Linked DNA regions of Cricetulus griseus. The protein of the gene in region 1 interacts with the protein of each later gene in a pairwise test. Links are inferred from orthologs where the notes say so. Each region holds a gene or a part of one and is shown in the gene's direction. Other genes may lie near its edges. The genes, in order: Sptbn1, Traf3ip1, Cep63 and Sh3bp5.

Region 1 (5,858 bases):
AGACAAGAGTTTGGAATGGTGAGGCAAGTGTTTATAGTGAGAGTCTGAATCTGTGCCTCTCACATCTTTTTTGGACTAATTACTGGTTGTGGAGGGGGGCACTCCTTTTTGAAGAAAAAAATAAGATTTTAGGGGGAGTGGAATGGGGACTAGGAGATGAGCCATCCTTCAAGAGAAGATGTGTTTAAGTACCTGTTATCTGTAATAAAGGCACTTAGGTGTTGCCATTTCACAATTGCTTTGAAAGAATTTGAAGTGAGACATTTTCCAGTCTTGATGAAGTTTTCATTGGTGATCTATTAACAGTGTGGGTGGGGTGATGCCAGGGGCCCTGCCTCCCCCCCACCTGTGAAAGGTAAACAACTTCCATTTCTAGTGGATTTCCTTCATTACTCAGGAAGGGTAGCAGCTTCCATTTCTGTTTGATTCAGTTCTACAAGTACTTTCTAGTGCCTCTTAATATGAACAACAATTCAAAAGAACAAATAGACAAAGAATCCTATCCCTGAAAGAACTGACCTTCTGGCTGTGTTATCAACCTTCTGAGGAAAACGTTAAATTACTTGTCTTCCTCAACTTTTTGCATATAAATCAAAAGCAAACATTGGTATGAAATCCAAACTGATAGTAAAGCCCCAGAACTAACAATCACCTTCAGAGTGGTGTGACTATTGAATTTTGTTTTACTTTAACACTAAAATATACAGCCATCAGCCCGGGGTGCTTTTTAAGCCGGCGGGTAGATCTTTAGGGAACACTGCCTCGGGCTTTTTAAGTCAAGGACCCTTGAAAAGTCCACAGTGCTGTGTTGGGCATCTTACAGAACTGGGAGAAAGCCAGTTTCTCCAGACCCTGTTCTCCAAAGAGCATTTCTATTCGTAGTCAGGATGACTCACCATCCTTTTCCTCCCTTGAGAGCAGTTACAGGATTTCTGCACAGCCTGGGAGATGACAGGGTGGCCAGTGGGCTTGTTTGTGAGGGGCAGTGAACATAAATTCAAGAAAACGTCCAGTGTCAGAAAATGGAGGTGGGAGAACTCCAATCTTCACGCCATCTCAGGGGTCCTCCACAGCAGCCGGCAGACCTCACTTCCAAAGACCCAGGACAGAGCACCTGACCTCAGGTTAAAGTTGAGCCTGTGATTGACCATGAGTCATGGGTTAGATAAACCACTTGTAGACTACTGCCAGCTACCCTTGGGGGAAAGGTGAAAAAGCATTCACCATGGAGGAATACATTAACCGCTTGAAGGAATACGCGTGACTGGCCCCAACGCCCAAAGCTTCGCTCGGAGAGGTCACTGTCACCCCTCTCCAAGCTGGACATCATCACCATCACTGAGCTGAAACCGCGCAAACGGTGCAACTCTTTCTCCATTACGTTCTAAAGGTGAACATCGCGGGCGAGAAGAGGCTGCGAGAAAATTAGCCTGTCTTTTTCCATGGCGGTAATCGAATTAGCCTCAAATTAAACGTGTAATTGGTCCTCGCCAGATACAGGGACAAAAGCCCCCATTGTCCTATGGCTCCCAGCGGTGGCGGCTGCAGCCTTACCCACCCGCCCAGGCCAGACCCTGTCGCAGGGAGCGCGGCCCAGGGCCGGGGAAGGGCCACTGCTCGGGGGAGCGTGCACGCGCTCGCCCATCCGCGCTGCATCCGAACCGAGCCCGCGCTGGGTGGGCGGCTGCCTGGCAGCAGGGCTGCGCGCAGAGAGGAGGGCGCGCGTCAGGGAGGAGCCGCTGAAGCTCCGGAGGTGCGGGAGGCGTGTGCGCGCTCCCGACGCCGAGCCTGGCCGCGCCCGCGCCCCTCTGCCCGCCCCGCGCCGCGCCCCCGCCCGCCCGCCCGCCTGCCCGCCCGCCCCGCGCGCTCTCTCCACCCTCCTCCCCGCCCCGCGCCCGCCCAGCCCCCGGAATCAGTGCAGCTGTCGCCGTTCAGGCTGCGGATTCCTCCAGTCCCTCCCCCGGCCGCCTCTCCGCCCGGAGCGAGCGCGCAGCCCCGCGCAGCAGCGCCCACTGGTCCCGTCCTGTGAGCCCCGGCCCCAGCCGCCGCCAGCCCCGCGGAGTCGCCAACCCGGCCCACTCGCCCGGCCGCCGAGGAGCGGGAGGAGGACGGGACCCCGACGCCCCCACCCCACCCCCGGAGGTAGGTTCGTGTCGGAGGCAGGAGGATGCCAACTCACCCGAGGCTGTTTGCGGGCGGGCTGGCGGGCGGAGGAGGGGCGCGGGCCAGGGCGCGTGACGCCGCTGCTGCCCTGCGCCCCGAAGGCCGTGGGGGTGGGGAGGCGGCCCTCGGGGCGCGGCGGACTCCGCAGTGAGGACTCCTGCCACCGGGTGCCGTGGGCCCTGTCACGGGGGTGGGTGTCGAGCGTGGGGTCTCCCAGGGGCTCTCCTAGGCTCCGTGCGGGGCTGCGAGCAGCGTGGGTCCAGGCTGCTCTGCTGCAGCCCCGCGCGCCCCGCCACCCCCGCCTCGCCCAGCCCCGCGCCCGCGCAGGACTGGGGGAGCCGCCCTGGGGCGTCGCGCCCGCCTTAGCCTCCTGCCATCCAGTCTTCAACAGGTTAGTGCGGGCGCCGGGACCCTCGGGCCCTGTCTGGGGTAGGTGGGCTGGTAGCCTCTGGTCACCGGCTCACGACAGCCGCTCCGAGGGAGCCTTCCCTTTGTTTTTGTGACAGGAGAGGTGCCAGGTGCTGCCATCGAACGGGGGAGGCTGTACGGAAAGCATTGCCCGTTATTTTTTGCAGTCAAGCCAGAGCGGATAGGAGAGGGACGTGTGGGAGTGCTTCAGCAGAAGAGAAAATGGATTCGGTGCGGGCTCTTTGGGCGGGGATGTGCGTTTTTGGCAAGATGGATGGCTCACGGTGCCCTCACCGTGATGCAGCACAATGCAGCAGTATCGCAGCCTCTGGGCTTCTCGCCGGCGGGGCTTGGCACAGCCACCCGGAGCCTGCGGCCCCCGCCCGGCCCCACCCAGGCCCAGGGCAGCCCTTGGCCTCTACCTTGTCATGCTGCTGTGGCGAGATGTGGCGTTGGGAGGAGCAGGTCACCTAGGGTGTGTTGGGGGTGGGGGGACTTTCGCTTTGGGGGCGACTCTTCCTGCCCCGCCTGTTGGCTCTGGGGGACCGAGGCGCGCCCTGCAGCACTGATGCAGGCCAAAGCAGCTGGCCTGCGGATGCGGGCGGGAGTCTGATGCTAAGGAGGGATCAGCGCTGCAGGGAGGGGCTGCAGAAGGACGCGACCCAGCGGTGTACAGAGGCCATGGTACATTCGCTGTGGATTCTCAGCTTTTCTGTGCATCGCCCATAAACCAGATAGGCATTAATTCCATCATTTGTGAAAAGTTGGTGCTTATTAATTAGATCATCACAGGCATGACGTTGTAATTCCTTGTCTATCTTTGGTCATTACTGAAAATGTATTTTCCCCCCTAGGAAACCATCTTTGAAGTGAAATGATTTTTCATTTCAGATCATATGCTCCTGAAAGCATTTATTAAAATATAGTATTCCAGTGGTTCTAAGAAAATATTACGTGATTCTTTTAACCTGTTTTTTTTAATCTGATTTTTCTGTATGCCAAGTACTATTATTTATTTTGACTTTCTATTAAGGGTTTGTTGATAAATGTCATGATTGATAACAAATTAGTTGACTTCAAAACCAGACTTGTAGGTATATTTTCATAGGTGTTGCTGGGGACGGGTTGAGGCCTCTGCTGTTGGTATCTGGTGAGGAAATGGTTCCCAGTACCATTTAAGTCCCCACTGGTACAAGGAGATGTCCCTTTAAGCTGCCATTTCTGTATTTCGTTTATGAGGTATAAGGTGGGATAAATTTCAAATGTCACCCCAGGCTGTCCTAAAATGTAAACATGAAGGCAGACTTCATATACTAACTGGAAGTTTAGCCTTTCAAAGCCAAGGGTGAGCCTGCTTTTGTTTTATTTTTAATCTCCGATGAATCTGTTAGTGCAGAGTAGAACAGCTTGTAGTCTGTGTGTGTGTGGGTGTGGTATGGTGTGTTGTGTTGTAAGTTTGGTGTGTGTGTGGGGTGTGTGTGGGGGGGTGTGGTGTGTTGTGTGGTAAGTTTGGTGTGTGTGTGGTATGGGGTGTGTGTGTGTGTGTGTGGTGTCTGTGTATGTGGGTGGTGTCTATGGTGTGTATGTGGTGTGTGTGTGGGGGGGTGTAATAAGTGTGTGGTATCTGTGTGGTGTGTGGTGTCTGTGTATGGGTATGGTGTTTGTGGTGTGTGTGTGTGTGGTATGGTAAGTGTGTGGTATCTGTATGTGTGGTGTCTGTGTTGTGTATGTGTGGTGTGTGGTGTCTGGTATGTGTGTGGTATGGTGTGTGGTGTGTGTGTGGTGTGGTAAGTGTGTGGTGTGTGGTCTCTGTGGTGTGTGTATGTAGGGTGTGCATGTATAGTGTCTGTGGTTGGTGTGTGTGTGTGTGTGTGTGTGTTATGCGTGTGTACATTATCTGGAGCCCTTCATACTTAAGGGCTATTCAAAGATGGGACTTTGGATTTGAGCTTCACGGCTGTGCTGGCTGCCTAAAACTGTGCTGCATAAAGATTTTTTGAGTATTATGTGCATGGGTTATGCAGACATTTTGGATTTACTATGTTGTAAAAAATACCGTATTGATGTCACAGGAGGTTTAGCTGTTCTAACTTACACAGCAGCTGCAGAACTCTGTTGGGTTAAGCACTTTGTAACTGTCACCTCTGCAGTGACCCAAAAACTTCATCTGCAGTAATGAAAAGTATTAGGGCGGGGAAAGCACTATGCCTAGGTCATCTTTCATTGCAAGGGGAGAGGACCTCTGTGGTGTTGTAGAGAGCATCCTGAGCAAAAACCTGACACCAGCGGTGTCTTTGGCAAGTTTGCTTCTTTTATCCTGATGTAAGAAAGTGTGATTTTCCATGTGGAGGTACTATTTTGAGAAAGAAGGACTTTACTACAAAACACATTTAGCTAAACATGAAGGGCAATCACTTGGTGTTTTTGGTTTTGTTTCTGGTTGGGTTTTGTTGTTGTTAAAATAATTTTGAACTTTTCATTTTAAGATCCTATTTTGTACTTAGTTGTTTTTAAGACAGGATCCACTGATCTAAAATTCAAGGGCTTAAGTGACCCTCCTGCTGCCTGGCTAAAGAGTGTATTTTTAGTGATAACCTTACAGGCCAAGTTTATTGTTAGTATTTCTGTTAACTTACTGACTTTTGTGCTCAGCGTTGATACTCCTTTAATTAGGTTGAGCCCTAACCAACAGCATTCTTTTAGTGGCCTTTTCTACTATTCTGTAGATTTCCTTGTGTAGACTTGGGTCCTTCAATACTTTACAGGTATGCAGAGGACAGAGCCAGGGTCTCAGCTAAAAAAAACTACTACTGTAGCTCAGAGGGCTCCTCTTGTAAGCTTTCTTTACTATGCATATTACCCAGCACTTTTTCTTCAAAAAGACCAAGTGTAATTCTCTGATTTTTCTTGGCATGTTATGTCATGTTCAACCTTATATAGTACAAGAATAACATTTTTTGTAACTAATAAGTAACTACTACAATTGGAAAGACATATATTTTCTATTTTAAAACATCATGTTCAGGGATTGAGTCATGGTCCAGTGGTTAAGTATCCACTGCTCTAACTAAGGACCATTTGAGTTTGGTTCCAGCACCCAAGTTAGGCAGCTCACAATTACCTGTAACTCCAATCCAGGGAATCTGACTTCATGGGCACAAATACACACAACAAGCTTGGGTGCGTGCGTGCGTGCGTGCGTGCGTGCGTGCGTGCGTGCGTGCGTGCGTGCGTGCGTGCGTGCGTGCGTGCGTGCGTGCGTGCGTGCGTGCGTGCGTGCGTGTCTG
Region 2 (5,320 bases), on another chromosome or scaffold:
CCTCCAGCAGGCCTGGCTTGTGCTGGGTCTGGCATGGTGGGTGCATCCAGCTGAGGGTGATAGTTGTCAACTAGTTTGAACAGAATATTTGTCTGAGAGTGATTATATGTCAGGACCAAGGCAGGAACTGCATGGGAGACTAAGACTACCAGCCACCTGCCTTGCTGTTGGTACAGGAGCTGCAAAGGTGGGTGAAAACCCACAGTAGATGATGGAGGGAGAGTGGGGGAGAGGGACTGAGGATGGCCTGGGAAACAGGAGAGCCTACCAGCCATCCTGACAGGAGGGTGTCCAGTGAAGCTCGGAGCTGGGAAGTGTTGATTTGGCTGGCACGGTGAGCAGAAACAGGGAAAGCAAGATGTGGGTTTGCAGAGGAGCCGTCCCAGCCAGGTCCTTCCAGACTCCACGTGGCCATGATAGGGAGGTTAGGCTTTGACGTAGAGCAGTGGGAGATGGTGACATCGGTTATGTTAGATTTCAGAAGCTCCATGTTATTGTAGGCTTGGAGGGCAAGGCAGAGGTGAGTAGAGCATAGCTCAGCCTGCAGGAGACACCAGGTCTGGGCATGCAAGGACCTGAGGGTGTCCTTGTGCCTGCTTCTGGGTTCAGTGGAGTCCCTCATGCCTGGTGCTGTTGTTCTGAGTCCCCACTGCTGTTTTATACTGTCCTTCTGCCTAGTCCCCCACCACTTCCCACACTGCTGTGACACTAGGGTCTCCTAGGGCCACAGAGAGGGGATCCTGGGTCATCTCCCCCTTCTGTGTCCCCAAGAACTCTTGCCTCCCTCAGATGACTTCGTCTAGGAGCTCAACGGATGTCCTGTGCGAGTCAGATCCCAGGGGCCATCACCCCTGTACCCATGTGTGGGTGCTCTGATGCTTGTGCCTTTGAGGGCAAGGCTGCTCTTGTGTGGAGATGGGCATGTGTGGTTGTGTATTGCTCTCCCCAGCTGAGGTGCCCCAGCCCTCACCATATTGGCCTTAGGTAAACGTGTTCCTGGATGTGACACAAGGATTATGTGCCTTCACTTTTGTTGTCTGGTGGTGCTGGGGTTGGAACCCAGGGACTTAGAGATGGTTGCCAAGCTCTGCCAATTCGGCATCCCCAGCTGTGGAGCTTTGGCTTTGACTCCACCCTGTGGTACTTTTGACTGAACGGGCTGTGTTTGTGCCCAGAGTCCAACACTTGAAGAGAAAGGACCCTGGGTGCAGGTGCAGTCTAGGCTGCAGGAATCTGGTGGAGGTGTCTAGTCAGTTCGTTAGGGAGGGCTGAGCTTGCTGGTCCTGCTGGCCCCACGCTGTCACAACAGCTTGTTTCTCATGGCTTCCTGACCTCAGTCATTTTGCTTCACTTAGTTCTGTAGCATGGTTCCTTCACAGTCTGTGTGTTGTCCCATCCCGTCTCCCCACCCCCGTTTTTCTTTTTTTCTTTTCTTCTCGGTCTTTCAAGACAGGGTTTCTCTGTGTAGCCTTGGGTGTCCTGGAACTCACTCTGGAGACCAGGCTGGCCTCAGACTCAGAGATCCGCCTGCCTCTGCCTCCCGAGTGCTGGGATTAAAGGTGTGTGCTGCCACAGTCTTGTTATGTACAATGTTGTGGTTCTGGCTGACCATAGCAGACTGATGGGGACATGCTAGAGAAGTGCCCAGAGGAGCCCTGTCCCTGCAGGTTCCCAGTTACTGGAGGTGTATGTTCTCTGACTGCTCAGTGATTCACTGTGTGTGGTTCCCTTACATGAAGGCTAATTTTCTGATGCTTTTCCTTTCTAGGCGACTCCCCCAGTGACGCAGGTGAGAGCGGTTCTGATGTGTTTGGTGTGGTCATGCATGTGCAGATGTCAACATAGGCTCTCATTTCTGTGCTTTAAAAATGTACCAGTGAAATACTAAGGGAAACACAACATTTGAATTTATGTTAATTTTCTGTGTTTTAAATTTCAGTCTTGTATGTGGGTTATACATGTTTGTGTTTCTTTTTCCTTTTTTTGTTTGTTTGTTTTTTGTTTTTTCGAGACAGGCTTTCTCTGTGTGGCTCTGGCTGTCCTGGAACTTGCTCTGTAGACCAAGCTGACTTTGAACTCACAGAGATCTGCCTGCCTCTGCCTGTTTGTGTTTTATCTTGCAAAGCCCCATGTTTCAGGGCTCTTTCCAGAGTATCACATTTATTTCTGATGTTCAAATTCTAATTTATCTTTATGGTTTTCTAAAGTGTACATTTCTTTTACTTTAAATAGTAGAATAAATCCCACTGTTTTAGTAGTTTGGACTTGTAACTTGCAGGCTTAATCTTTTTATTAGAATGAAAAAACTGTGTTTTAGCCAGGTGGTCCTGCATGTTTTTAATCTCAGCACTCAGGAGGCAGAGGCAATTAGACCTCTATGAGTTTGAGTCCATCCTAGTCTATAGAGAGAGATCCGGGCCCTTCAGGGCTACATAGCAAGACCTTTGTCTCATAAACAAAAACAAAACTATTTACTGACTATGAAAAGAATATAGTATTCACTGTAGATAATTTGAAATGCAGACCAGTGTAACAAAATGAAAGCTACTTGGTGACTGCATTGTTTATAACTGAGCCATACACACTTCTAGGACTCCACATGTGTGAGTGTGACTGATGTCTGTTACTACACTGTGTCGTCAATTAGCTGGTAGGATGCGGAGTCCAGGATTCGAGTGGACTGTGGTTTGCTGAGCGATTGACACGCCTGTCTGTCTAGGGGTGCTGCTCCTTTCCTTAGGTTCAGTTCATTTGTATTAAGTTGTTGACTGGATCCATCCACCCTTGATTAGTTGGCCAGTTTGCATTAATAGAGTTTGCATGTCCCCATGTCCCCAAGCATCCACATTTAGATGTGAAACTCTTCTGTTTGGATGAAAAGAATTCATTGAAAATTTCAGTCATTTGATTGATGCCTTTTCAAATACTTATATTTGAAATAGTTGGTATTTATATGTGAGTAAATTTATTTTTGTTACTATTGAATTCTTTTTGAATTGCTGATTGGATTGTCACCTGTTCAGAAGGAGACGCTGGACCTATTGGCCAGGATAAACCTGAGGTGTCAGAGAATGCCGAAGTCCCCAGTGAACTTCCCTCCAATCTCAGGTGTGTCCTTCCGCAGTGCTTGGGAGTGTGGCCACTCCTAGGCCAAGCTGTGGCGGCTCCTGCCATAGCTTCTGCTGCCTATTCAACACTTGTGCAATGTCATAGTTATTATCTGTACACAGTAAGTGAAAACTACTTGTACAGCTTTCTTGTGTCTGAGTTACATGGCCATGTTTGGAGCATTGTAGCAGTTTGGGGAATCTCTAGCAATGGCGAAGGTCTGTCATGCTCCGATGAATGGCAGCTGTGCTGCGTTAATGGGTGTTCATAGTCCTCCGCAGAGTGTGTCTCTGACTGTCACACTGACAGTGGCATTGGAATGAGTATTAATGTTGACCTAGGCTTTTATTTTGTCCAGTTTGAAATGTGTGGGAGTGTTTCATGTCCTATTTTTTTCTTTCCAATACTTACTTAGGAGAGTACCTCGGCCTGGAAGTGCACGACCAGCACCTCCCAGGGTCAAACGACAAGAGAGCACTGAGACGCTGGTGGGAGACAGGTAAGACGGCCTGGCCAGGAGGTTCTAGAGGACTGGGCCCGTGTTCTCTAGTGTATGGGCCAGGGGTACGGGCATTTTGGGCCTATGCTGAGAGACTAGGTGGGGATGTAGGAGGTATTTCTGGGAAAACTTGCTTTTGAAGAAAGGTGGGGTTAGGTCATTGCTTTAAAGCCACAGAACAGCATGCATTCCAGACTGGCAAAAAGGAGAAATGTGTGTGCTCATGTTCATGATATCTCAGAATGCATGGGCCCATGCTGGGTTGTGTTTCTCTGACCTCTAGATAGAAGACTTTCAAAGCATAAAAAGGAATAGTTGAAGGCTTAACTGCATAAAAGTTAGAAACAAAAGGGTATCCCAAAGAAGAGGATATGGATATGGAGGCTAGGCCTAGGGGAGCTGCCCTGTGAAGAGGTGAGGTCTGGGTCTATCTGAGAATCAATGTCTGGGAAAAGGGGGTCCCAAGAGCCTTTGTGGCTCCAGCAGAAGGACCAGCAGGGCTGGGGGAGAGGGCTGGGGTGGCCTACAGCTCTTGGCAGTATGGAGGCTTTGGGCTAGTGAAAGGTGGTGGTCTCTCTGTCCCCACTATTCCCGGAGATTTCCCTTCACCGTCTGCGGCAATGGCAGTCTGGCTTCTTTCAGATAAATGTGACGTTTCAAGGTGCACAGGGCTGATGACAGCTGGTGGCCGATGAGCCACTTCCAATGTAAATGGCTCTCTTCTTGTTCAGGTCAGGAAGTGGTAAAACCGTCTCCAATGTGATCATCGACTCACAGAACTCTGACAATGAAGAGGATGAACAGTTTGTGGTGGAAGCTGCCCCTCACCTTGCAGAAATGTCAGAAATTGAGATGGTTAGTTCACTGGAGGGGCCTGTTCTTAGTGAATGGTTTTAGAAATTAGCACTTTGGCTTTTCAATTTATGAGATACAGTGTTTTCCCCCTAATTTTTCTGTAAGCCGACTAGTTTCTTTGGTTTTGTTTTTTACATTTGTCTGTTTGCTTAATGACTTTGAAAATTCAGCATAGCTGGTCTTTCTCCTTTTCTGCTCAGGTGCCGGCAGGGGACCTGGAGGATGAGGAGAAGCACGGTGAGTGTGCATGAGTCCACCTGTTCATGTGGATATGGCTGTCTGTGAGTGCTCTCACAGAGACGCAAGCGGCCATCCTGTGCCTAGCTGTGTCCTAGGAGGGACACTGTTGCTGCCATCATGTGGACCTGTAGGGAACCGAAGGGCCTGGAATTATAAGCGTGCGCTACCACACCCACCTCAGTCTTGTTTTTTCTTCATATAAAATATTCCCGGGGCTTTAAGGTTAAATGTACACAGCTAAATGCATTAAGAGGTGGAAGTTTGTTGTTTGTTTTTGTTGTTGTTGTTTGAGGCAAGGTCTCATTGTATGGCTCTGCCTGGCCTAGCAGTCACTGTAGACCACTTTGGCCATCCTCCTGCCTGCTCACGAACACTGAGATTGTAAGTGAACAGCATCCCTCCCAGTGCTGAGGTGTAAGACTTTAGACCTTCTTCTTTCTCCCTTTACTCTCCCTCCCCATAGGTACAGGTAAGGATATGAGTATTATTTCCATTTTAAAAGTGTGTGTGTGTGTGTGTGTGTGTGTGTGTGTGTGTGTGTATGTGTGAACTTGATAGTCTGCTGGCTTTATTCCAGCACAGCGGCACAGTTTTGGCCTCTCTTCCTAGTGGTCTATT
Region 3 (5,320 bases), on another chromosome or scaffold:
CTGCATGTGTGTGGGCACATGCGTGTATGTGTTTGTATGTATAGCAGCTAGAGGGGGTACTAGGCATCTCCCTGTGTCATTCTCCATCTTGCGTACTGAGACAGGGTCTCTTACTTGAACCCTGAGCTCGATGACTTGGCTGGTCTGGCTAGCCACCTTGCTCCAGAGACTCTGTCTCCTCTTTCAAAGTGTTAGGATTACAGGCAGACCACCATGTCCACTCGGCCAGCATTTACATGAGTGTTATAGATCTGAGCTCTGGTCCTCCTGTGTGGCAAGTACTTCAGCACCTGAGCCATCTTCTCAATCCCATAACTAAACGTTTTATAGGAAGTGGAAGATGGATGGGGGCAGGAGTTGGAAGACCAGTTGGCTAACATGCTGGCTGGCTAATGACTGGATGGATGGATGGATGGTAAATGGGTAGATTAGTGTGTGAGTGGGTAAATGGATGAGTGGGTAGGTAACTGAATGGGAGTATGGACAAATGATTTTGTATGCCCTGATAAAGCCAATAATGAGTAAGTTGTAATTCATGAACTCTTCTGATATATACTGCAGGATCCTTTAAGAATATGTGATTTGGCAGTGTTAAAGATTTAGGGACCCAGCTGGGCGTTGGTGGCGCATGCCTTTAATCCCAGTACTCGGGAGGCAGAGGCAGGCGGATCTCTGTGAGTTCGAGGCCACCCTGATCTCCAGATCGAGTGCCAGGATTGACTCCAAAGCTACACAGAGAAACGCGGTCTCGAAAAACAAAACAAAACAAACAAACAAACAAAAACAAAAACAAAATTTAGGGACCCTAGTGTGTTCATATTCAGAACTGAGAGCTTTGGGGAATGTCACAGCCAGACTCTGCCCTGAGTTCTGTGCAGCTGAACGTTCTCCTGAATCCTAGTGGAAACATTGATCTTTCTTTATTCCCCTAAGTACATGCCTACATGCCTGCTACCTATTTGTTATGCTACCTTTACCAGTTATGTACCTGGAGTAGTTGTTAATAAACCACTAAGTCTTGGAGATTCTAGAAAGATGCAGGGAAAGACAGTATTATATATATCTTTTAAGAATGTGCAGTGGTTCTCAACCTTTCCAATGCCTTGACCCTTTAATACAGTTCGTCATGTTGTAATGACCCCAACCATAACATTATTTGTTGCTACTTCACAACTGTAATTTTTCTACTGTTAGGAATCATAATATATTTTTAGAGTTAGAGGTTTGCCAAAGGAGATCATGGCCCACCGGTTGAGAAATGCTAGTTTAATGATTTTTTTTAAGACATCAAAGTGGTAAAAATCCTGTCAGTTTTAGCTTTCTGTGGTTCCAGAGTTACATATAGTGTGGATATCTTGTACAAATTGTCAAAACATAACTATTAGGAAATGCTTTTTGCATGTTATCACCTAGGAAGCTGAGATTACTTTTCCAAATTAATCTATAATTATTTTAATGAAGCAGCAGTTTTCATGAATATTGGCTACTTTAAAGATGGGTAGCAGGTGACAGTGCAGCCCATGCCCTGCAAAAACAAAGACAGGTAGCAGTGGACAGTGTAGCCCCTTTGTAGTATACAAATACAAAGATGGGTAGTGGTTGACAGTATAGCCGCATGTCCTGCAAATACTCCTCTCTGAGATGTTGTCAGCCATGGGCAACTACTGAAAGGTCTTGTAATTCCTAGTTTACAAGTGCATTTACATGTTTGTGACTTGACAGGTAAATTATGTTTATCAGATCACTATCGACCAGCTTGCTTTCACAGTTTTTTTTTTTTTTTTTTTTACAGAAAATGAAATGTTAAACTGTAAAGATCACCATCATCTTATAGAATGCTAATTAAAATCTCTCATGAGAAAAAGTAGACCTGTATTATCAAGAAATAAGATATGTAATCATATAACTTAGACCAGATCACAGTAGTAATTCCTGCTATATACTTGAGTCCTGCTTTTATGTTGCCTAGCTTTTTAAAACTAGGTACCAAAAAGTGCTTTTGGTGAGAGGGTATTTATTTAAAAGCTACCCCTTTGGGCAGAATTCTTTTTAGAGTCTTGTGTTTAAATTACTTTCTTTGAATCAGTTCTTTTGATTTCCTTCCACAGGTATTCTGTGTGAGTAGGGGTGGGGTGGAAAGGGTGCCCCTCATTCTCCTTTAAGAGCCATGGCTATTATATTCTTGATCTCCCCTATCTCTGATTCTTGAAGCTTTCCTCTGCCCTGTTTCTACCCCTGATGTCGAGTACAGGAGGACGCCATCCTGCCCCCAATTTCCTCCTCCCTTCCCTCTAGGCAGACTGATGCTTTCTTTGTGTTCATCTTAACACAGCTAAAGACAAATCTTCACTTTCTCTAGGTAAAGCCACAGATTAGATAAAACTGGAAAAGGAACTATTTCAGCCAACACCGTTGCAGATTGATCATAAGTACCCTTAAACATACAAGTGATTCTAGTATTCTTTTTTTATTAGGCAAAAGAGATTTCACTAACAGACCTTCAGGAGAATTATATTGAGGCATTAAATAAATTAGTGTCTGAAAATCAACAACTACAGAAAGATCTGATGAACACCAAATCTCAGCTGGAGCATGCTACTCACGTGTGTACAAAAAAAGATGGCAGGATCTTTAAACCAGCACGCAGCAGAGTAGCTGAGTTCAAGAACGCAGAGTTTAAGTAAAGTTCCTTAAAAGTCTCTTTGACATGTGTGTGCTGCCGTGTGATTTCCTCTGCTTTGAGAAGTGCAGTCATCACAGGCTCTGGGTTTAATTCTGACTGCAGAGTGCACAAGTGGCTCAGGTGGTTCGGCCTTCATTTCATTACAGCTTTTGTTCTGTGCACCCTGCTTATAGGTGTGAACCCCATTTGTTCCCCAGAGCGTTTTCATGCTGCCTCCCACCACCTCTATCCCACCTGTTCCATAAGAAGTAAAACTTGGCTTATTATAAAAAGCGTCCATTGTATTTTTGGTCAATTAATATCAGGTTGTTACCGTAAGAAAGATTCAATGAGAAGCCACTGGCTTCAGTGTGTTTTCCTATCAAAAGCCTTTGGTGACACTCTCACCCACAGTGACATTATGTGGCTGCCTTCTCTGGGCATGGGGCTGTCCTGCCTGGTCACTCTGAATCACTGTGGTAGCTTGTTTGGCCTCTGCTATGGGGCAAGCATGAGAGCAGAGCTTGAATGAGTGAGGAACACTTGTCCTTACATGGGCTGCTCGTTTCTAAGTGACAGCACCTTGCTACCTAGCCTGTTATTTAATGTTCAGATGAGCATGCTTCTTTCAGCATTTATCGGAAAGAAAATTTGCTACAATTTTTCATTTATTTTGTTTTCTAATCTGCTATCCAGGCCAACCCATGGCCAGCACAGACATGATGGAATAAAGACTGAGCAGTACAAAACAGGTCACCACTCGCCTCGAGAACAAACGTTGGATAGCATAGAACCCATGGCCAGGGGCCCCAGCCCCATGAGTCCTCACACCAGCCCTGACAGCTCCACCGTGTCTCTGCCTTCCAACTTTCTATGCTATGCTCACTCTTTGCCTTCAATGCTAGATATAAATGATGGCAACTTTTCTGACATCCTGTCTGACTGTATGAATGACCAAGAAGAGTTTGTATCTTCGGTATGGAAACGTTCTAATCTTAACATTTATTTTTATATTTAATTTAAGGTGAAAAGGGTGTTTTGTTTTACTGGGTCCCAATCAGTAGTACCCTTTATTATTTTCACACATTTCCACCATGCAGTTTTACTCATGAAGGCACATTCAGCCAACATGACTTCAAACTCACGTTCTGAAATGAGTGTAGGTATTCACTGACAGTAGCCTGCACCTTCCTGCCTGCCTTTTCTAGAGAGGGCTGACTCTGTTGCAGTGATTGCATCAAGGGCTGTTTCTGGATGCCAGCAGAGTTCCAAAGCATGGGCAGTGATAAGGGAAAAGGGGCTGTTGGGAAGGGGCTGGTGGCAGAGGGCAGACGGCAGTGCATCTGAGGTGTGCAGAGTGGCATTTGGGTATCTGAGATGGCCCTGGTAGTAGAGGCTATCTGTGACTCTGTGCTGGTTCCCCCACCACTAGGCTCCACTGTTCTTTGTCCTCTGTAGGGAAGCACTTGTGTTGGGCCATTTCATTGCCTGTTGTCAGCTGTAGTCACATCCTTGTGAAGGTTTCAGTATGATTTTTAAAATGTGTCAGCAATTCCATGGAAAGGTTTCCCTTTAGTTTTCAAAATGAATGTTTTACTTTCATGTAAACAAACAAACAAACAACTTAACACCTAGAGAAGTGACTTTTTTCCTAAGTTTGGCAGCACACCTTTCCTGATTTATGATATGTGAATTTTATGGATGTCACTTTTTCTGAAGAGTGTGAACATCCACGTGTTTTCCTTCAGAAGTACCCAGTACTTGGTGCTAGTACTCCAGGGGGCCAGCGTAGTTGATCTGATTATTCAGCAGTTGCCTGTTGGCTTGCCCGCTAGACTTTACTGTGGTCCTGCTGTGCCCATGTGTGGACACACAGAGCAGGAGAGCTGACTTGCATGTTCCTAATGGAGGTAGCACAGGGTGGCCTCTGTTACCTGTCACAGTGTTCTCTGATGATGGCATTGTGTAGTGTAAGAACCTCAATTCCATCTCCAGTTAGTGTGCTGTTGGGATAGTCATTTCTCACTTTAGAAACTCATTTCTGTTGTGTCAGATGGAGACAAGATACTCTTCCAGGCTGTGTGTATGTCTGTTCTGTGTGTTTATTTACACAGTGATTTGTGCTAACTCAGCATTCAGGGTGACTTCCAAAACATAACTGTAAATGAGGCCAATTACATGTGCTAGATTTCTGTATTTATTACCTCCAAGCCCTGAGATCAGAAACATAGCTGGAAGCAAGAGTTGCAGATCAGAGACCATGGATGGAATTTTAAGAAAGGGAAAAATACTGATTTTTTTTTTAACTGGCATCTAATTTGTTTTCTGTAGCTTTTCAGAGCTTTCAAGTGAGAGTAACTTTCAGGGTCTTGAAATAGCAGGCATTGGCTGTGTTCTCGAGTGGCAGGCAGGCATTCAAGACTGAGCTGAGATACTCTCAGACTAGTGACGAGCTGTTTACACTTCACATGGACACTGCTTGAGTCAGAAAGAAAGAGACTTATGGTGCAGTGTTTTTAGAACTTACCTTTTTTTTTTTTTTTTTTTTTTTCCTTTCTTGGCATTAAGATAAAAGTATCTCTTCAGAAGAAAATTTCCCCCTTTAGCATTGCTAGGCAGAAAATATCACAAATAGTGGCAGAGCATCCATCCCTGCTT
Region 4 (5,320 bases), about 110 Mb from region 1:
GTCCTGAGTTCAATTCCCAGCAACCACATGGTGGCTCACAACCATCTGTTATGAGATCTTCTGCCCTCTTCTGGTGTGCAGATATACATGGAAGCAGAATGTTGTATACATAATAAATATTTAAAATCTTAAAAAAAAAAAAGAATTGCAGAGTTTGGCAACCCTGCAGGCTGTTTGATGGTTTCTCATGTTTTGTGGGACACTGTGTTCATTGGCTTGCTACTGAATGTTAGCATTCTGTGGTCAAGTAAGTTTGGAAAGTGTTCCACCTCCACCCCTCTTAAATAGTCTAAGTACATATTACAACATTCAAGACTTGAAGTTCTGAGGACAGATTTAAAAGGGACTTGGGACCCAGATTTGATTGTGACCCCACTTTACCACTGCACATGGGCTAGTGGGCCTTCATGTGTTAGCTGCTTCAGCTTTGTGACGGGGACAGTGTCTCCTATGGTAAGGAGGGTTGTGAGAAGTGACAGCTGGCAGGTCTCCCTGGGGTCTGACCACATGGGTCTCTTCTGTCCAGGCATATCCTGTGCAGATAGGATAGAGGACTGACCTAATTTCTGTTTATCAAGAAAACTACACTGTGACACTCAACACTTCACAACTTTTCTTTTCTTTTCTTGTGGAATAATCCATTGTGGCTCTTTTAGGCCCTGTCTTCAGACATTCTTTTTTGTTTTTCCTTATTAGTATTATCTTTAAAAATAATTTGTGTATGAGTGTTTTTCCTACATGTGTATCTATGTATACCACATGCTTGCCTTGTGTTAGAAGATGTCAGATGCTCTGGAATTGCAGGCATTTGTGAGCTTCTATGCGTATGTTGGGAATCAAACCTGGGTCCTCTGGAGGAGCAGCAGGTGCTCTTAACCACTGAGCCATTTCAAGCCCCATCCTCAGCAATTCTTGAAAGCCATCAACAAATGCTGAGTTGCCAGGTTGAAGGGAAATGAAACTATAATGTAATCAGTGGCTATGAGTGAGTTACTTTATACATCACTTCATTAATCCTGTCCATAGAGCATTTGAGCAGTCAAGTTGCTTGACAAGGCCACACAGTCAACAGTGGAGTTAGGATCTGAATTCATTCAGTCTGTCTGAAGCAGTATAGTACTTAGAACAATCCTCTCAGGAATGCTAGAGGCCATTTTTAAAGATGCCATAGGTGTAAAGGGAACTAGGAAGGATTTTAGAAGCGAGAATGCAGTCTGAGAGGCTCTGAAAACAAGATGGTATGTCTCTGTGCCTTGGTTATTCTGGTCCACAGATTCAGGCACAGTCAGAGCATTGAAAATGAATGTTCTTTGTTGCAAACAGTTAAGGGCATCTCGTGAGATCAGAAGATACTACAGACATTCCAACAGCTCTTGCTGCTTACGCCAGAAGGAAGACCTTCAGTCTTCACTGTAAGATTGCCTCTGTGTAGGACACATTTCAAAGGGCTAGTGTCTAAATTTATCTGTCTTCCCTTTCCTTCAGTGCTGGGGATGGAAACCAGGCCTTTGTATATACTAGACACGCACTCTGCCCTAGCCATCCCTAGCTGTCCTTTATCTAGGTAGCACTTGCTGGCACAGAATTAGAGCAGGAGTTAAATTCCTCTAGAACACAAACTTTGCACAGGAGCTAGCTGCTGCTTCCTTTCAAATGCTCTGGAGGCTGGTCAGAAGAAGGCTCAGGAAGGTTGTAGGTCCTGCCGACTCCATGCTGTGGGACTGCCTGCCCGCAGAGAGCAAGCCTTTAGGAACTGGGGTACTACTTAGCAGACTCCATGTGACTGATGTTCTCTCTCACCATAGTGGCTTCCGAAGCCTTTGAAGACGACAACTGTAGCAACTTAGTGTCTGAAGATGACTCAGAAACCCAGTCTGTATCCAGCTTTAGTTCAGGACCAACAAGTCCATCTGAAATTCCTGACCAGTTCCCTGCAGTGGCAAGACCCGGCAGCTTGGATCTGCCCAGCCCTGTGTCCCTGTCTGAATTTGGAATGATGTTTCCAATACTGGGCCCTCGAAGTGAATGCAGTGGGGCCTCCTCCCCTGAATGTGAGGTGGAACGAGGTAAGTTGCAACCCAACTTGTGGATTGTTTGTGCCTTTGCTTGGGCTCTGCCTGACCAGCTTCAATAACATAGAACTTAGGTCCTTTGTCTCTCCTTAGAACAGTCCCCTTCACTGGTTTGATTCCTAGCTACAAAATGAGGATGAGTGTATCTCTAAAGATACACACTAAGGAATAAATGCAGTGTATCACCCAGTGCTGGAGAACCCCTGAGATGCATGGTGGGTGGCGTGGGAACTGCAGAGGGCTCAGGCGGCTGATGCCAGTGCCTATGGTACTCTTGGAACTGTCAACTCCCATTTGGCAACCTTTGTATCTCTACAGGAGACAGAGCAGAAGGGGCTGAGAATAAAACGAGTGACAAAGCCAACAACAACCGCATTTTCGGCAACAGCAACAGTGGTGGTAGCAGGGGCAGGAGCCAAAGCAGCACATCCCTTGAGGGCCAGACCTTGGAAACCCGTATGAAGCAACTCTCTCTACAATGCTCAAAAGGAAGAGATGGGATTATTGCTGACATAAAAATGGTGCAGATTGGCTGATCCATGTGCAATGGATGGCTATGGATGGCTATGACCCATGTGCAAATCACATTTATACATGAAACTCAAGAAACATCGTGCCAATAATCATTTAACATAAGCCAAATAGTATGCATTTACTCTAAACTGCACTAACCAAGTTTCAGTGATCTTGAGGGCTGAAGAATTTCCCTCTGATAAGAGCTCTTGGGCTGGTGTGTTTTTCAGAGCAGAGCCATTGCAGATAAACTGTGACCAGGGTCACAGCCTTTGCAGAACATTCCCTGTAGCGGCAGTGTGGAAGCAATAACTAGTTTCTGTGAAAGAACCTGAGCCAGGAGGAGAACTGGACACTTAGCCAGACTGGGGTCACCAGCCTACATCTCTATCCCCTCTGCCCCCTCTGTTTGGGGAAACTGAGATGTTTTCTCCATTATATCACAGGGCACCAAAATAATTTTCAAACTCACACAAAAACTCAAGTGTTCAGAACACATTGTTTTGACCTAGTGAAAGCTTAAAAACAATGCCAAGAACACAATTCATCTTCATCACCTCTGGTGCTCAGAGGGGGATTTAAAAAAAAAAAAAAAAAAAAAAAAAAAAAGCATGTCTTCTGGGACACCAATTAAAACCATTTCCTAGGAAAGCCACCATGAACTGCACTTTTGGGGGGTGGGAAAGGTGAATGAATGCCAATGTGGGGATGGGTAATGAGGTTGCAGGGACATAGCATAGAGGGGATTTGTGGCTGTGGGAGGCTCTATAGCCTGACTTTAGCCTGCCAGCCAAGGGGGGGTATATTCTAAGACAAGTGCATGTGAAGAATGGTTGCCACTGTTCTATCTAGACTGACAAGAAGTTAATTTCTCTGTAGGCTGTAACTTCTACAATAATTGCAATTATTTAAGGTTTATGCTGCACCTAGTATTCCTTAGAGGAAACGGTCCTTAAAGCTAGGAAAGGGAGTGGGCATGTACTGGCAAAGGCTGGTAAATAGAAGCAATGGATGCCATGATAATAGTGTGTTTAGACTTAGTGTTTATGGTTATGCATATTTAGGGCACTGTATTTTATCTGTCCTGTTTTATTGATTTGGCTTTTCTGAAGAAAAAAGCACCCCCTCCTCCATTTCTTAATTGTCTCTTAATTCTGTCACAGCTTGTATATTTTAGCCATGTATGTATAGCTTCATACAACAGTGGTTTCTCCTTTTTTATTGATGGATACAGTATCCTAATTACAAGGTTATTTTGTACTTGTTTTAATACCTTGAGGGTAATAAAAACTAAGAAAACTTTGTGACTTCAGATGAGAAAGCCTGCTGTTGTCTTACTCTGGGAAATGCCATCGCTTTAAGAAAGCCCATAGAGTGCAGTGGGCATCTGCTCTCTTTTTCAGGTAAGATGGTAATCCTGGTCATTTAAGATCAATCCCAAGGTCTGGATTCGAATTCTACTCATGCATGGTGTTACACAGGTGTGCACCAAGGAGAGACAGGCAGGCAGCCCACAGGTGACACTCAGCTTCACTGGGGTGGGGGTAGGGGTGGGATAGGGGCTAACATCCTGTGATATGGTTTGTCAGTCTGATTTAATTTGTGGTACACCTGGGCACTTTTTCAAAGGAGTATCAGATTTTAATGTATATGCTGCATACTGAAATGTGTTGTGGGATAAGTGCCCAGTTAGTGTTGCCTATTAATGTTCTCAGAAGTCCCTTTCAACTGCTCTGTTCCCTGTAGCCGAGACTTTGTTTATTTCTCCTTCCTATCAACATTTGTGAGGTAAAGTTGTGTAGTTTAATGTTTAGGATCTACCACGGGGGATTTCTGGGTCACCTATCACCCTGAATGTTGTTTCTTCCATTTGCCTTTTAAGTGGGAGTCACACATTTACAGCAGGGAATAGAAGATAGAATTTTCTTGTGTTGGGAATCATAGTACTATATCCCTTACTTGGGCACTGGGGCTTCATAATCTGGCCTCTGACCTCAATTCCCCATCCCCATCAGCCTGGGAATGCACAACCTTTGACCTGGCTCCTGTTTCACAGTGCTCCTCACATTTCCAAGTTAAAGCAGGGCCACTGTTGCCATCATGGCCTTCTTACTTTCTCTGCAATGTTGGGATTCGCTACTCTTTTGACTTTATTTCAAGTTTATATGGCCAAGTGAAATCTCATTGATACAAATCTTCCAACTACTGAAGTAAAAGCTATCCCTGAATCATGTATTTTCATGCACATCTATCTTTTATAAGGAATACAGTAGATTAATCCAATAAATCAAGTTCTGAAGGTTAAACTAAAGACACTTTCCATAAGTATAAATATTTTATTTCAATTAAAGGCAGTAGAAATAGTTTTGATAATTATAAAGTAGAGACAATGACAGATCCCATCCTATTTTTCAGAATTTTTAAATCTTGAGCATCATTCTGTACTGATGATTTTTATGTAAACAAATGGGAATTTACACAACACTAATTCCTGGCAACTTACTTTTTATGAATGCTGTATAACTCCATCACCACCTACTAAATTCTCAAGGACTTTCCAAATCCCTGTTATGAAAGCACCAACTACAGAGCAATTTAAAAACTCTACACGCTAAACTTTAAAATTTCCAGTCTCAGATTACTACATTCACCAACCTGCTAAGAATTAAAACAGCAACAATAACTATACCTCAGTTCTCTCTACAATGGATGAGATACAATGTATCTAACACTGA

Evidence for each region.
Region 2: the proteins of Sptbn1 (region 1) and Traf3ip1 interact in a two-hybrid assay, tested with the Homo sapiens proteins (2 studies listed by BioGRID and IntAct). The link is inferred for Cricetulus griseus from reciprocal best matches to the Homo sapiens genes SPTBN1 and TRAF3IP1.
Region 3: the proteins of Sptbn1 (region 1) and Cep63 interact in a two-hybrid assay, tested with the Homo sapiens proteins (2 studies listed by BioGRID and IntAct). The link is inferred for Cricetulus griseus from reciprocal best matches to the Homo sapiens genes SPTBN1 and CEP63.
Region 4: the proteins of Sptbn1 (region 1) and Sh3bp5 interact in a two-hybrid assay, tested with the Homo sapiens proteins (2 studies listed by BioGRID and IntAct). The link is inferred for Cricetulus griseus from reciprocal best matches to the Homo sapiens genes SPTBN1 and SH3BP5.

What each region holds. Positions count from the first base shown.
Region 1 is NW_023276807.1:77,071,136-77,076,993, forward strand, and holds the start of Sptbn1 (spectrin beta chain, non-erythrocytic 1), read left to right. Parts: upstream 1-1,928; 5' UTR 1,929-2,142; intron 2,143-2,179; exon of another isoform or gene 2,180-2,704; intron 2,705-2,993; exon of another isoform or gene 2,994-3,153; intron 3,154-5,858. UniProt on the Homo sapiens protein: Fodrin, which seems to be involved in secretion, interacts with calmodulin in a calcium-dependent manner and is thus candidate for the calcium-dependent movement of the cytoskeleton at the membrane.
Region 2 is NC_048595.1:443,032,702-443,038,021, forward strand, and holds part of Traf3ip1 (TRAF3-interacting protein 1), read left to right. Parts: intron 1-1,768; coding exon 1,769-1,789; intron 1,790-3,023; coding exon 3,024-3,108; intron 3,109-3,523; coding exon 3,524-3,607; intron 3,608-4,338; coding exon 4,339-4,462; intron 4,463-4,662; coding exon 4,663-4,699; intron 4,700-5,320.
Region 3 is NC_048597.1:210,822,510-210,827,829, reverse strand, and holds part of Cep63 (centrosomal protein of 63 kDa), read left to right. Parts: intron 1-2,474; coding exon 2,475-2,680; intron 2,681-3,358; coding exon 3,359-3,638; intron 3,639-5,320. UniProt on the Homo sapiens protein: Required for normal spindle assembly.
Region 4 is NW_023276807.1:188,329,473-188,334,792, forward strand, and holds the end of Sh3bp5 (SH3 domain-binding protein 5), read left to right. Parts: intron 1-1,805; coding exon 1,806-2,066; intron 2,067-2,390; coding exon 2,391-2,608; 3' UTR 2,609-3,897; downstream 3,898-5,320. UniProt on the Homo sapiens protein: Functions as a guanine nucleotide exchange factor (GEF) with specificity for RAB11A and RAB25. Inhibits the auto- and transphosphorylation activity of BTK. Plays a negative regulatory role in BTK-related cytoplasmic signaling in B-cells.